Tamandua tetradactyla: one gene and its partner. The protein of the gene in region 1 purifies or fractionates together with the protein of each later gene. This does not show direct contact. Links are inferred from orthologs where the notes say so. Each region holds a gene or a part of one and is shown in the gene's direction. Other genes may lie near its edges.

Region 1 (7,915 bases):
AGGAGGTAGGAAAGTTGAAGCAATGACTGTAACTTTTTAGAGAAATAAAGGGCCATTTACTATGTCCAGTGTATCTTGCTAAATACTCTAGAGATATAAGCTTGTTTAAGAACATCTTTAAGGAGCTTACCCCTTGTGAAGGGAGGGGTGGAATTCACATCTAGTAGAGGAGAGGGAAGGTTTCACTAAAGAGATTGCTTTTAAAGTAGGCCTAGAATAATGGATTGTATTTGGAGTTGCAGCAATTGGAGAAGAACATTTCATATGGAAGGTATTGGTGGATGATGAAATGCATGGGGCCTATTTGATTTCACAAGGAGTCCAGTTTGGGTCTAGCACGATATGTATAGGAAACCAGCAGGTGATAGTATGGATTGATCTATTGGAGCCAAAGTGCAGAAGACGTTTCAATACTGAGAAAGAAGTGCTTGTAATTCTTTGGATAGGAAACAAGGAATTATTAAAGGTCTTGTGGGAGTAGGAAAGTGAAGTGACCAGGATTCAGAGTACAAACAATTCCAATTTATGCACGAGTTGTGTTTCAACCACTCTTTCAGTATACTATGTACCAGGCACTAAGCTACATACTGTAGATAGAGTAATAAAAGATACAGTACCAGAATTCAAGGAATTCACAATCTGGAGGGAAAGGGAGATATAGAAGGGGAAAAAAAACTAAAATGCAATACTACAAAATCTTTAATAAGATTAAGTACATACAAAAGAATTACACAAGAAAGGTACCTAATCCAGGGGTAGGGGTGGGTCGAAGCATGGAGGGCCATAGAAAGCTTCTAGGAAGAACTAATTTTATGTCAATTTTCCTGAACTCAGTATAATTTTCTAATGTCATTTGCAAATTAGTGGTAATTTCATATGGCCAAACTTAATAAATGCTATGATGGTGTTTAGTCCCAGGTCAGACCTCAAAAGCCTATTTAACTAATAATTATCTTATAGCAGTATTTTCTAACTTCTAGATTCACAAACAAGAGATCTAGGACAGACAATATGCAAAATCTGAAATTGGAAACATTAGATTTTCAAATCCTCCCATCTCCTGTCTTGCATTTCCTTCCATTCCTTAACACTCCTCTCCCCAGGATCTCTGGTCCCAAGGCCTCCAGCTGATGTGCACAATTTGCACCCAAGCTTGATTTGTCCAAAACTTCCCTTTCTTTAGATGCTACTGATCTGTGTCAGAAAGAAAACAACCTGATTAAACTAGTCAATGCTAATGAATGGATGACTATCAAGCTCTCTCCAGAGCTATTTAAATCTTTAAGAGAGGATACTTAAGAACCTTTGATGGAATTCCAGGCACTAAAACCAGACCTTTTGTGTAGTGCAGTCACACTTTCTGTGTAAAGGCCATTTATAAGTCAAGAGTTGAGATGGAGGCTCTAACCATCCTGTGTTCCCCATTCATAGTTTGTGTCTTGGGTAGGTAAATTTCTGCTTCATATTGTACATCTAGCTTCATCTAAATAAGATTAAAATCCTGTCTGTCATTAGATAGACAAAAATGAACTATGAATTTTTTTCTGATGAATTAAAGGATTTAAATACCTTCTTCAAAAAGAATTATGACTCTTTGTCCTAAGTTGAGAAATCATGTTATTACTTCTTTTTTGTGCTTCCTTTGAACTAACCTGGTTTGAATTACTCTGTCTAGTTTATAGCATATTTGCAGTTATTTTTATAAGAGGAACTAGTTTTTCATGAAATCATGAATAATGTATATTTCGTGATTTGAATTAAATAAACAAATTTAATTGAAAAATCTAATTTACTTGGCTCCTCTTCCTTAAAATAATTACAGTATTCTAAGACAAATAAGATTTATTGCAATATGTCATATGTGTAATACTGGAAGTTTTAAGGTCATAACATTTGAAAGAAGACTGGTTCATTAAATAAATGATTCCCAAACTCAGACCACCGGATTGGCATTGGGGTGATATATAATCATTATAATAGTCATCATCACAGGTATTTATTAAGTGTTTAACTTACAACAACTCTATATGAGATATACTTATTGTCATGATAGATGAAGAAATTGAGACACAGAGAAATTAAGTAATTTGCTCAAATTTACCCAAGTAGTACATAGTGACCTCAGAATATAAACTCTGGTACTTTCAAATTTTCTCCCTCTTCCTCCCCACCCAATTTTGCTGGACAGGAACCCTGAATTAGTATTTAAGTCCCAATGTGATTCTCAAGCAAATCAGGTTTGGGAACCATCAAAAGTCAATTTACTTTGTACTGGATGTCTAGTTCCTTACCCATTTCTGGTTCATAAAGCTAATCAAATGACACAATACCCTTTCAATTGATTAGCAAACAAACATTTTGCATCTTCTTTGCACAGACTAGATAGCTTTAAAAGCACATGTGAGAAGTTGGGAAATAGGGAGAGATTACAAGATGCTTGGTAGAAGGTACAAGGTAGTCTTCCTGGGAGGGAAAGAAAGGGCAGCTGGATCTTGAAAAGTGAGCATGACTTGGAAACATAGGAAGGAGGAGGGAACTATTTCTGTACAAGAAACAAATGGAAATAAGCATTTTTAAGTGGTGATTCAAAGCTGACTGACATTTGTGGGTCAATGAGTAGGCCCAACAGAATTGGATAGAGTTGAGAGTTCCTTTTTGGAAGTGGCTGGAAATAAATTTGGAAAAGTAAATTGGGATAAGTTTATGGTAAACTTTAAGTACCAAGTCAAAGTTTAGACTGAGCCTTATAAACTATGAGGAGTCACTGAAAAGTTTGAAAGGACAAAAGTACAATGATGAAGGTATCAGTTTATAAGGAATAACCTACAGTCACTACACAGGCAAGAAGGATGGGGAAGAGACAAGAACTAGGAAAACCATTTAGAAGTTCAAAGAAATAGTATAGATGTGAGAAATAGCACAGTGTAGTAGTGAATATACATGGACTTGGGTGTCTCTGGTTGAGGTTACACCACTGATCAAACTGAGTGATTTGAAGTAAATTGCCTAATATCTCTACTCCCCAGGTGTTTCCATTGGGGAGTGGTTGTAATGATGATAATACCTACTTCCATACACAGAGCCAAAACAGAGAAAATATTTACCTAGGATGATGGCTAGCTCTGAGATGCAAGCTACATGGGTCAGTATTTTCAGTTTCCAGGCCTATGTGACAAAAAATGTTAGTATCATCAACAAAAATAGAGAAATCAGTGGACTTCTACTTTGTGGAAGATGAGGTGAAGGAAGTAAACTAACACTCAGAGAATGTTTCAGGAATTATGCTGGAATTTTAAAGGAATTAATCTTCATAAAAATCTTATGAGGTAGTATTTCTATCCCCATTTAACAGATGGCTTAATTAGAGCAAAAGATACTGAGTCTAGATGTAACCCAACGTCTGCCTAGATCTAAAACTTAGGCTTTTTCAGTCATGTCATATTGTTTTAGATTTGTGAAATTATATTTTATTTCACTGGTTTTAGTTTAATATTCTAGTCTAGTTTTTTGAGACTCTTTCGAATCTTGATTGATATCTATCAAATTAATTATCCCTCCAAACTTTGGGTCACCTGAAAGAGGGACAACAATTTCGCTGAGAGGGGGAAGAAACATGGAGGAAGGATATTTTAAGTGGAAATAGGGTAAATGGCCTTGATCAGTTAGGTGGGAAGAAGGGTTACATGCCCAGAATGAAGGTGGTTGTATATGTAACCTGGTTGTGAAGCAGACATAAAAATTGATGGAATTCTAATGAGTGAAGGGCAGAAGGAGGTTAAGATCAGTACAGGAAGCAATAAGAAGTGGAGAAGGTAGTATAGGTGGACTAAATACTTCCATTGAGGAAAAATAGAGGGTGAAGGAAGCTAACATTAAAATGAAGGCTGACCAACTCAGTGGCAAGAGTTCTCACCTGCCCAGCTGGAGACCCTTGTTCGATTCCTGGAGCCTGCCCGTGCCAAAAAAAAAAAAAAAGTTTTCCTTCAACTTGTTATTTAGAAGGGTAGGATATGAACCCAACAAGTTTTTTTAACCCCCTGCGCAAAATGGAGAATTACATATTTTTATGACAAATATATATAAGCACAATACTTCTAAAGATACTTAACAGATGTTGAGAAAAGACTGCATTTCAATAGGAAGAACCAAATAAATTGGTGGGAAATTGCTTATGAGGGAAACTACTTGGGAAGTTTCTAATGTGTGCAGCTCTTTGGGGACGCCCTCTGCATTGTGCAGAGGATTTCTGCCCAAGGTGGTACTAGAAGCTCTGTAGTGCTTTAGTTCTGAGCAAAGAAAGTTACATTCTTCATTTCTTTTGGTTAGCTGATAGGTAACCAAGTGTGCAGCAAGAGCCCACTTTCTCCAGCCTCTGCCGCCACAGGAAGTAGGGTGGTGGCTATCTGTGCTACCAAAGTTTGTATTTAATTTGAATATTTCAAGTTGATCATTATGTCCGGTTAATTTTCAAATTAATGGGTCTAACTACTTCAGACTTCAGTTAAAACTATTTTAGTCACATCTCATACCAAATTCTTAAATTATCTATTCTTGGTTCATCTTTACAAGGATAAATGAATCATTGCCAAAATTTGCCCAAAATGAGTTAGTTAAAGGATTTGATAAGGGGAGCCTAGTTGGATTTTATTTTTTTAAACACTTTAAGAGATGGTGATAATCTCAGGTTTCCAGATACTTATTCCTAAAGCCTGCAGGTGTAAAGGGTAGAGAATCTACAACATTTTACTCTAAAGTCTGCACCTGATTTTCAGGGCCACTTTCCCATCCTGGGCTTTCTTATCAGCCAGTCGGGGATATTACTTTTGGTTTATCTCCCTGTCCGACGAGGCATTAGTAACTGGGTGTAGTTGTGTTCCGTGTTAGCTTACGGGGTGTGTGTGTGTGTCTGTTGTGTGTACACTGCACACAGGAGAGGGGGCAGGAGGAGGTGCAACATCCTCTCCTTCAGGGTGCTTTGAGGGCAGTTTCTCCAGAGGCTAGTGCCACCAACTTATAAAGGTTAACCCTCCTCGTTAGGTATGAAGTGGCGGGAACGCAGTTCTTTAGAGGCCGCCCTAAGGAGAGGGAGTCCGTAAAACCTGGAGGAGGATCCCGTGCGCTCGGCTGGGGATGGCGACGCGTGTTCACGCAGAAAAGGCAATGGGCTTTCAGGTAGAAATAACTAATGCGAGCGGGGCCTCTGCAGATTGGGGGAGGGGGGTTTGACTCTTGGAGGCAGTGACCCTCTATCTGAGGCTCTGAGGGGAAAGGACCAGGACGAGTTGGACGTTTCCGGGCCCCTCCCGCGCCTCCCGCTTGTGGGGAGATGGCGGCGGCGGTTTCCCAGCTCCCCCATCCCGGACGCCGATGGCGGAGCGTTTCGGCCCTCCCCCAACAGCTTCTCCCACCCGGTAGCCTAAGCCGGTGAGGCGGGGAGGGCGGGGAGCCGAGGGAGTAAAGGCGAGAGGGCGGAGGTTGCGTGGTGCTAGCGGCAGCCGCGACGGCGGCAGCGGCAGGAGGAGGGACGGACCGGCGGGCAGGGGAGGAGGAGAAGGAGGAGGGAGCGGGTGTCGCACGCAGCTCCAGGCGGGGCGGCCCCTGTGGCTGAGGGACGCAGCCAGACCTTGGCGGGACGGGGATTTAATCGGACCCCGGGCCCAGCGAGGAGGTGAAGACGTTGCCGGAGCCTGTAAAACACCGGGGGCAATGCGGGTGAGTGTTGGCGGCGGGTTCGGCAGGCGGGGCCGAGGGGAAGCACTGGCGGCGGCGCAGGCCCGGGCTCGAGCCGCGGTGTCGCAGTGACTGGGGCCGCGGCGGCCGAGCCCAGGCGTCGGGCGAGGCCTGAGCCCACGGCGGGACGGAATGGTAGCCGGGGCTGGGGGTCTGGCAGACTGAGGACGCGAGGGGTGGGGAGGGAGCGAACAGAGACTCCAGCCCTGAGTCACTCCGGCTGGCCCGGGCCTGGCCGAGCCGCGGCCCCGGAGGCGCTCTGCGCGGCCAGGCCTGGACCTACGCACTGGGAAAAAGCCCGATTCATCGCGCCTGAAGGAGGCGGCCTTGACGCGCCGACCTCTTTCCAGCCGCGGTAGGAGAGGTAGGTGCGGCGACTGGTCCCTGGCTACTCGGGAGTCTGGTGCTTCGCCTCCCCTCGTGCAGGCAACCCCTGCGTGACTCCCCGTCTCCACGTGAGCCCCTCCGACTTCTGCCTTTTCTTCCTTGTCCCCTTCCTGGATCACTCTTCTGCCCCATGCTGCACTTTCACCCTTTACTCGTGCTCTTAAGTAAGTACTCGTCTGCGCTCAGAGAGGCTGTCCGGGGAAGCAGCAGAGCTGCGAAATAGGGCCCTTTTGCTTTCCGGTTCCCTGTCCACCGCCGGGGCTCTAGGGTTCCCAGCCTTCATTGTTGCGAGTGGTTGAGGTTGCTATTATTGGGTAATAATGGCTCATTTGCTCCATTCTCTTGCGGGGAGTGGGATGGGGGAGGGGGCACCGCGCTTGCCGGGCGCACGGGGATGCGAATGCGGCCGCGGAACCGGACGGAGCTTCTCGGCGCTCGCGGTACGCTGAAGAGTCCAACCGGGCCCTGCGTTGCAGCCTCGGCGCGTCCCCGGCGCCGCGCGGAAGCGCGCGGCGAGTGGCCCCGGAGGTAAACGGGGGGCGCTCGGCTGAAGCTGTGTGGAATTGGGGTCCCGAGCCTCGAGAGTTGTATGTATTTATTCCCAAGGCCCGAAAGTCCTATCTTGCTGCCACCTGTGTAATGCAGGCATAATTTAAAGAGAGTAGTGCTCTCTCAAATTTTTTTTGAGGTTAGTCCCCAAAGTAAGGGTTTTCTCATCGTAACTAGTTCTCTGCCAAAACTTGGATTCTTTTGAGGTTGGGTCGGTCTGTTGCTTTTAGTTCGTAGTGGTGGTAAATGTGCAAATATTGAATTGCAGTCAACTTGTTTAAGTATTTATTTGCTCTTTGTAATTGCTTTTTCCTGTAGTGGCATTCAAATAGTCAATTATGAGTGGAGTAAGTGTTCACATTATTGAAATGAACTTATTGGAGTGTCAGCTAAATTTCATTTTTACTTTCAGCCATGCGCTTCTGTGACTTAAACGTTTAACCCTCCGCTAAATTAAAAAAAATGTAAATGTAGTTTTTAATTTAACACTTCGTTTTGTGACCACTCTCTACCTGATTTTCTGAAACCCTGGAGAGTTTATGTATTGTGTAGTAAAATGTATGGTTTTGCTGAAAAAGCAAAACCAGCAGTTTTTGTTTAAAAATTTGGGTGTGAAACTAAAAAAAGGTTCCTGTATATTAGGAGATTTTTTTTTATCTGAAAGGTCTGTTTGTTGCTTTCCATGTTAAGTAGAAATAGTTGCAGCACATTTCAGATTCCGAAGCATGCAAACACAAGACCGGCTTACTTTAACTCTACTATGCCCATTTTTGGAGGTTTCACAAGAGTGCCCATTAACTTGATAGAGGTGGCCCAAACTTTCTAAAAATGTTTACATTCAGAGTAAAAAAAAAAATCACTTTCTAAAAATGTTAAACTATTTTTCATCACCAGCATCGTCTTTTTAAAAACTATTTTGCCAAAACAAACAACAACAACAAAAAAACAAGCAAACCCAAAACTTTATACTAGGATTTGTTCACCAATTTTAAAAACCCAGTCTTTCTCTCCCAGAACCACATGCTCTCAGCTTGTAGTCATGCTCCCCATTCCTAATGCTTAGCATATCAGAAGACTGAGATGAATGAGTAAGTCAGTTCTGCACCTATTTCCTTAGATTAAAGCTCATTAGTCTATATCTCTTAGTGATAATTAACATAGTCTTGATTTAGTCAATTATCACCAATACTTTTCAGTCTATGAATTCCTTGAAGGCATGGAGTATTTATTTTTGCATCCTTTGCACAGA
Region 2 (7,711 bases), on another chromosome or scaffold:
GGGCGCAGTAGCCGGCTCCGGAACTGGAAACCCGGGTGATGCCTGCTAAGAGAGGCCGAGAGGTCCATGCAGGGACCCCCTGGAGGTCCGGAGAATCGCACGGGCCGTGCGGCGCATGGTGGTGCAGCAGGAACCCGGCTGCTTTCCAGCCTCCGGCAGGAAAACAAACAAAAGGCTGGGTGGCTTCTAGTGGGGACGACCGACTGCTTTCCCTGGGAAAAGTTACCCTGCAGCTCCCCTCTCTGGCTCTGCGCGTCCTTGCATCGCGTCCAGGCCGCCCAGAGGGCGCCGAGCCGCTCCGCTCCTCTCTCTGCAAAGGGCTAGACCCCACCCGGGATCCCCGCTGCGAGCGGATCACGAATGCCACCTCCCACTCCAAATGCCACCCTTGCTGCAGTCGGTTGCATCAAATAGCAGGGTTTAGAAATGGAGGCTGTTGATGCATGTTCTGAGAACATTGAACTGAAGGTAATCAAGGTGAAAACGTTTTCCTGATTTTAAAAAAGGCAACCGATTAGCTGGTAGCAGCATTCATTTGCACTTTTAAGAGCTTTTATATTGTTAGCAATTTGGGATTGAAAGAATTGGAAGACTGGATTGTTAACCAGGTGAGAAACTAAGTATCCTCTACACAACAATTTTCTTTCAGTGTGTATCTAGGTATCAGAAATGTAACACCATCTACTTTTTAAACACTTTCCTTTATGTCATCAAGACATGCTAGACATTACCTTAAATCATCCATGTAAGGATTGCCTGGAAAAAAACTGCTTTGAGGTCTGAGATTTAAATTTACATAATTGTCCTAAACCAGTGGTTCTCAAAATCTAGCAGAAGGCAACCCAATCACCTGGATAGCTTGTTAGAGCTTGGATTCCTGGGCCCCACCCTTAGAGTTTCCCCGTACAGATACTGCTGGTCAGGGAAATACAGGTTGGGAACCACTGCCACAAGCAACACAATTTTAATTAACAAGGTAGCAATCCTCTGCCACATTGTGGCTCTTTCTGTAAGTTTAACTTCCCAATACATCACAATATCAATTTTCTCATTATTTTTGCTTTGGAATTTTAACTGGAGACTCTCCCCCTCCCCAGGGAGAATCTAAATCCCTCTTTCTCCTTGGTCCTGTTGAAGAAACCTACAAGATATGGGACAATCACACTTCTTTCTTTCTTTTTTAACTGATATATTTTGTATATTCACATACCATGTATCATCCAAAGCGTACAATGAATGGTTCACAATATCATATTGCTGTGCATTTATCATCAAAATTGACTTATTTTTTTCTTCTTTGTGTAAAGCAACTGTTCTAGTTTGCTAGCTTCTGGAATGCAATGAAAGACTGGTTTTCAATAAAAGGGATTTATTTTGTTAATGTATAGTTCTTCAGAGGAAAGGCAGCTTTCAACTGAGGTTCTTTCTTACATGGGAAGGCACAGGGCAATCTCTGCTGGCCTTCTCTCCAGGCCTCTGGATTCCAACAACTTTCCCTGGAGTGAATCCTTTCTGCATCTAAAAAGGCTTGGCTGTGAGCTGTGAGTGCTGAGATGAGGTATGCTGAGCTGCTTTGGCTGTGCTATTGACCTCTCTCATTTAAGCTTCCAGCCAATTAAATCAAACATCATTCATTACAGCAGACAAGCCTCCTAGCTGACTGCAGATGTAATCAGCAACAGATGAGGTTCACATGCCATTGGCTCATGTCCACAGCAACAGAACTAGGTAGCTTCCTTCATCTGGCCAATTTGATACCTGAACCTAACTACCACAGCAACATTTATACAAAAAATCAATAGATTTCAAAGCATATCACAACAATCAGTCACAGAACAGATTTCAGAGTCTGGCATGGTCACAACTCCACAATTTTAGGTCTTAACTTCTAGCTGCTCCAAGATACCAGAAACCAAAAGAAACATCAATACAATGATTCAGCAATCAACTCATCTGCCAAACCCCACCATCCCTGTACAACCCCACCATCATTCTTGATCCCTCTCCCACTCCCCTGGGTATCAGGGCTATGCCCATTCTACCCCGCCCCACCCCTCCCCTCACACACACACATGGTGGATGGGGCTGTTGATAATATGGGATAGGAGGATGGAACTAGTTGATGTTGTAGAGAGGCTGGTCCCTCTGCATTATCTGGCCCAGGGTCTCATCTGGAGGTTGCAGATTTCTGGAAAGCTACCCGAGTGCTTGGAACCAGTATAGAATCTTATATAATGCCATAGGTGTTCTTTAGGATTGGCAGGAATGGTTTTGGTTAGGGTTTGGCAAGCTATGATAGGTAGCAATGTTTAACTGAAGCCTATGCAAGAGTGACTTCTAGAGGAGCCCCTCGACTCCACCCAAACTCCCTGAGCCACTGATACTCTATCGGCCACACTCCCTCGGCCCCTACCTGGCCAGGACGGCACCACTGATCCCATGGTGCCAGGGCCAGGCCCATCCCCAAGAGAAACCCCCATGCCACCAGGGAGACCCTCACTCCCAGATGCCATGCCCCATGTAGGGGGAAGCACAATAAACTCACCTACAGAGTTGGGCCCCGAAACAGAGAGGCCACACCTGAGCAACAAAACTTGGGTCCTCCAGAAGCAACTCCCAGTTATACCCATAGGTAGGTCAAGCTTCTCTGCCACATACACAAGCTTCTGAAGAGCAAGCTTCAAGATCAAGGTCCTGGCCCATTGACCTGGGTGTCCCCAATGTTTGACACAGCAACAGCAGCTTCCCTGGTGGTAAAGCCCAATAGCTCCATATTTTTTTCTCCCATCCCTCCAAGGGATTCCACCAACACTTCTCGACCATTACAATCACACTTCTTCAGACATTCTTTCCCAAATATGAAAGGGTCATCTAGCCCCTTAGCAAATATAGAACATCTATCTACTAGTTTACCTATAAAACATCCTTGCCATAAATTGAAAATCATTAATAATTTAAAGGCAGGGAGACAAGAGGAAGCCTAAGAAATCATCCCCAAATTCTTAAGGTATATGTCTAATAATACTCTCACGAAAGGAGATTTTTAAAGTAACTAAAATCCTCAGTTTTACTTAGTGACATTAAGATGTCCAAGCAACAGAAGGACCATCATGGTCTACTTTTAGCAAGGATCCCCTGACATAGTACGTGGCTTAGGACAGAAGTTCTAGACTCAGGAAAATTAAAACTGTAAATATATATGATGACATAATATAACCCTATAAAGAGGTCCAGTGGATACAAGAACTGATCTAAATTACAAAATTAGTAGCTGTGAAGCATAACAGCTATTGAATAAAATATTTGTTCACCTTATCTTTACAACTATTAATTATTTTATTAAGCATTATTTAATTGCTTTCTAGGATAATAAAAATCATCCATGCTAACTGACCAGGATATCTTAAGGTAATATTCAACAGATTTAACGAAATAGACTAGTTCTGAAAATATTTCAATACTTCATTCTTCATGTGCAAAACTGACCTTTCCAATATGTCACATTTTTTTATTTTCTTCTGTTATAAATCCTTATATCAAACCCTTTTCTTCAATTTAAATGTCATTATCCAATTTTAAAGAAATCATTGGGAGGAATGTCAGTTTTAAGAATCCTCAGCTCTGGAGTGTCCTTTAAAACTAAAATCTATTAAGTTTTTGGCCTCGATTAAACGTAAAGATACTTTTTATAGATGTACAGTGTAAATAAAAACTCACCCATCCGAAGGGTGGATCCTAACATTAAGACACGGCACTTATGTCTTCCTTATTTTAGTTCAGTATTCTCCTCTCAACTTTTTTTTGCCTCCATTTCTTCGCAAAGGGATTAGTAATTTTAAACGCTATGAGTTCCTTCAATGTCTTGGAATCTTGATAACTATTAGCCCCAGGCATCGAGGAGAAATTTTAAAAACTCGGTGTTTGCTGGATGTAAGTAAAAACTATAAAGACTATGGGTTTTCATAGAACACACTCAAACTTTACGTTAATTTTTTTAAACTTTTAATAAAACATGGTCTGAAAAATAAAATGAAGTCTGACAAATATAGCCTTAAATCAGGAGTTTGCACTTTAAGAGGTGGAGCGAGGACATTGCGTGAGCTCCCGCGCGCATCGCAGACAAGGAGACTACAAATCCCTGAATGCCACGCGGACGAAGTCACCGCAGGATTCCACTGTCAGGGCCTGGGAACTGTACCGTCCCCCCACCGTTGCACGATGGGATTTGTAGTGAGACAATCTTCGTGTTGAACTGAGTTGTCCATTGCCTCTGCTCGCTCCTCTCCTAAGCTCATCTTTTCCTCAACCTCCAGACCTATGTGTGCTCTTTAAAAGTTTGTTTATAACAGTTTGCCACTATTGCGAAGTCTCACTGTTTCGCGGCATTTCTGGCGCTGGACTTTAGCCAGATTTCCCGAGGACTGTGTGGTGACCGTCCGAAGCACCCACTTCGATGCCCTTTAGTGCAGTTGACAGCCGGCTGGGTCTCAGCCCAAAATTTGGGTTACAATATTTTAGAGATAATGCCTGTTCAAGTCTGTATGCGTGCCCACTGAACCAAATGCGTGGACTGAGGTTGGGCTAATTTGTGCCCTCGCCCGAGGACTGGCTTGCGCACACAGTAGACCCATCCGCAAACCTCCAGGCGGCGCAGTGGCGCACTCAGGGCCAAGCATCCCGGCCGAGCTCGCCGGACCAGCGGCGACGGCGGCATTGCGCATGCTCACTGCTCCAGTGCAGGTTTCCGCAGCCTAGGGGGCAACTCCGCGGCGGTGTCCGGGGTCTCCAGCGGGGCGGACGCGCCAGTGCTCGCACAGTCCTCCGCTTCGGCTGGCAGCTGGCGCACCTCTGCTCCTCCAGCCCCCGGCCGCCGTCGCCGCTTCAGCGTGCCCCGATCTGGCCCCCTGCCCCGCGAAGATGGCTGCCGTACGCCGGGCCCGCAGTTACTGCCGCTGCCTGGTGCGCTTCTCCGACCGAGAACTCTGCTAAGCCCTGCTGCAGCAAACAGGCAGAAGTAGACATCTAGCACCCCTCCCCAGGGGGTGTGGTGCAGAGGGGGGCGCACAGAGCCTCTGGACCGCGGCCGTCTGCGCACGCCAGCATGGTAAACTGGGGAACGGGCTCGGGGACCCATTGGGTGCGGTGTGTGTGCGTGTGTGGGTGGGTGGGGGGGGTGATGGTTGTGCGAGAGGCCAGGCCAGGGGGAGTCCCTAGGGAGGATGAAGGGACTACTGGGAGGAGTGGGAGCTGCACGACGGCCTCCCAGTGCAATGATCTCTGACCCTAGAGGCGGTGCACAGCTCTGTCGACTCCCCTAGGTTCATTCTTGCTGAACCCTTCAGCCGGGACTCAATGTGAGGGGAGGGGGGTAGCGGGGCAAAACAGCTAAGAAATATGCCTCTTCTCGGTACACTGAGGGCATTGAACCACCCTCGTCCTGTCAAGGGATTTTATCAAGAGCAGTGAGCCAAGATTAAGGTCAGCCGTCGCAGCATCTAAAATCGGGAAAGAATCTTGGCTAGCAGAGACACTTGTTGATTGCCCCCCCCCCCCCCCCCGGAAAGTCATACCCACAGAGGGTGTAGGGCTCTGTAAGGATTCCTGCGTTTAGGACGCACCTGCCCTGTGAGGCGTCATTGCCGTGGCGGGGAGGTGTTGGCAGGCAGTCCTGGCAGCTTGGAGTTGAAGGAACCTTCTCCAACAGCCGTGAGGGCCAGAGCAGCGTCAGCGCCGTCCAATTGAAGATACTGAGCTAATCTCCGGAGTTTGACAGAGCAAATTCCACGAGACTGTTGCATGCTGGAATATGTAGTCGCTGCCCTATGCAGCCGTATTTGTGCAAGTGAAAGCCTCGCATTGGTTTCCAATAAATTGTCCACCCGAGAAACTAATCTTTGGCCAAGTTTGAGTATTAAGGATGAGATGATGCCCAACTACTTAGTTCATAGTAGATACTCAAGTAATTATTGAATAAATGAATAGTTGACTGAGGGTTTGTTGTTATTATTAAATTAACCTGGAGAATAGCAGAAAAAGCACTCATTAGTCTTGCCCCTAAACTTTCAGAAGTAGTTCACTTTCAGAAGAGCTTCTGTTCACCAGAATTAAGCACTCTTATTCTTTATATCACAATAATCTTATCTGTGGAACAGGAGTAAACAAACTGATGAATACATGAGTTACTCAAAAGAACATGAGCTACTCAAGTGAGATGTGTTTAGTTCAAACTTGATAATGAAAAATAAAGTAAAAATCTCTGGGTCGCCACTGAAGACCTACTTACTTCAAGTGGTATTTGATTTGACAAAATCTAAAAATCCTCAAGTTTGATAGTTTCTTGGTGTTTTTGTGATAATATTTAAATGGCTAGGATAAAAGTAAAAGTAGTAACGGATTAGAATTCTGACACAGAAACTCGGGGGAAGAACGATGCTACCTATATTATAGACTTCCTTCTTCATTTCATACATCTATGAGACATGCATTGTATTCATATAGCATTTTATTTGTTTCTTCAACCAGATTTTTTTTTATCCCTATAGCTTGGTACAGTACTAGACCCTGGTATGGTACTCAGTCTTCAATATAATCGAAATCTGTAAAATGATTTGTGGTAAACTTTAGAATATCACATATGAGAAGAGATCTCGGAGATCACCAAATCCAAATTCTCTTTACAGGTGAGACAACTGAGGCCTAGTCAGGCATTTACTGTGAACCAAGCAGTGTGTTTGGCTCTCCAGTTACAAAATGAATAAGTCCTGATCTCTGCTCTTGGTACAGTAACTCTCACAGAGGAGACAAAATTAATCTTAGTACAGTCATAAATGTTGTGATACAAAGTAAGACCAAGTGTTAGGGGAACACAAAAGAAGCAATTTGGAGGATTAGAAAATGCTTCCTACTGGATGATTCCTGACCTGAGCTAAATCTTGAAGGATGAATAGATGCAACCAAATGAGAGGAGGGATAAGGCATTCTGGATGGAGAGAGCAACCCATGCAAGAGCCCACAATGTGGAGAGCATGGGAAGCTCTTCAAACTAAGGCGCTTTAGTATGACTGCTGGGCAAAGAGTTAGGAAAAGCTCTAAGAGCCTTGAAAGTTATCGTAGGAAATTCAGGTCTTCTCCCATTAGCTGTACTTATAAATAACAGTAAATAAAGTTGTTGTTTTTTTTTTTTTTTGAGAAGAGAAATATACTTGTCAATGGGCTCCATAAGTTCTTTATTATGTTTTTACTACCAGTAATATTCTTTATTTTTTTCTTTGTAAAAGTTCCCTGCTTAAAGAGCCTCAGGAAAAAAAAATGTATTTGACTGTATTTTAAGTGTTTAAATGTTCTGTTCAGCTCAGTTTCCTGAAAGTTTCTTGGTGATTCATTTATTTATTCACCAGTTTAACCTTGATAGTGTGCCAAGCACTGTACACTAGTTATGGTAACTATTTCAAGTCTTGCAGGTACCGCCTCTGTTTTAAGTCTGGTAGCCAGAGATAAGATAGGAATCAAGGCTTATTTATGCTGAGTTGTAGAGTAGTACAAGTATATGTGGTTGCGTGTTAAAAAATTTGCACTAATGTGAACATTTTTGCCCAGGAAATAACTCAAACTGAAATTTGCAATAGTAATACTTAGCGTCTTTGAAACTGGTAAAGTTAAATAGGTTTTATTATTGTATTTATGACTGTCTTTAAAGTAATTTCCTTAATTG

Evidence for each region. Proteins that work in one complex are often made in the same cells at the same time.
Region 2: the proteins of CUL1 (region 1) and FBXO9 purify together in Homo sapiens (affinity purification with mass spectrometry; 4 studies listed by BioGRID and IntAct, with this or other methods). This does not show direct contact. The link is inferred for Tamandua tetradactyla from reciprocal best matches to the Homo sapiens genes CUL1 and FBXO9.

What each region holds. Positions count from the first base shown.
Region 1 is NC_135327.1:192,784,197-192,792,111, forward strand, and holds the start of CUL1 (cullin-1), read left to right. Parts: upstream 1-4,909; 5' UTR 4,910-5,172; intron 5,173-5,227; exon of another isoform or gene 5,228-5,424; intron 5,425-5,524; exon of another isoform or gene 5,525-5,712; intron 5,713-5,892; exon of another isoform or gene 5,893-6,094; intron 6,095-6,484; exon of another isoform or gene 6,485-6,704; intron 6,705-6,723; exon of another isoform or gene 6,724-6,805; intron 6,806-7,915. UniProt on the Homo sapiens protein: Core component of multiple cullin-RING-based SCF (SKP1-CUL1-F-box protein) E3 ubiquitin-protein ligase complexes, which mediate the ubiquitination of proteins involved in cell cycle progression, signal transduction and transcription.
Region 2 is NC_135331.1:111,633,677-111,641,387, forward strand, and holds the start of FBXO9 (F-box only protein 9), read left to right. Parts: upstream 1-4,708; 5' UTR 4,709-4,723; coding exon of another isoform or gene 4,724-5,101; coding exon 5,102-5,104; coding exon of another isoform or gene 5,105-5,134; exon of another isoform or gene 5,135-5,495; intron 5,496-5,618; coding exon of another isoform or gene 5,619-5,637; exon of another isoform or gene 5,638-5,786; intron 5,787-7,711. Other genes in the region: uncharacterized protein LOC143684790, read right to left, coding at 4,724-5,134.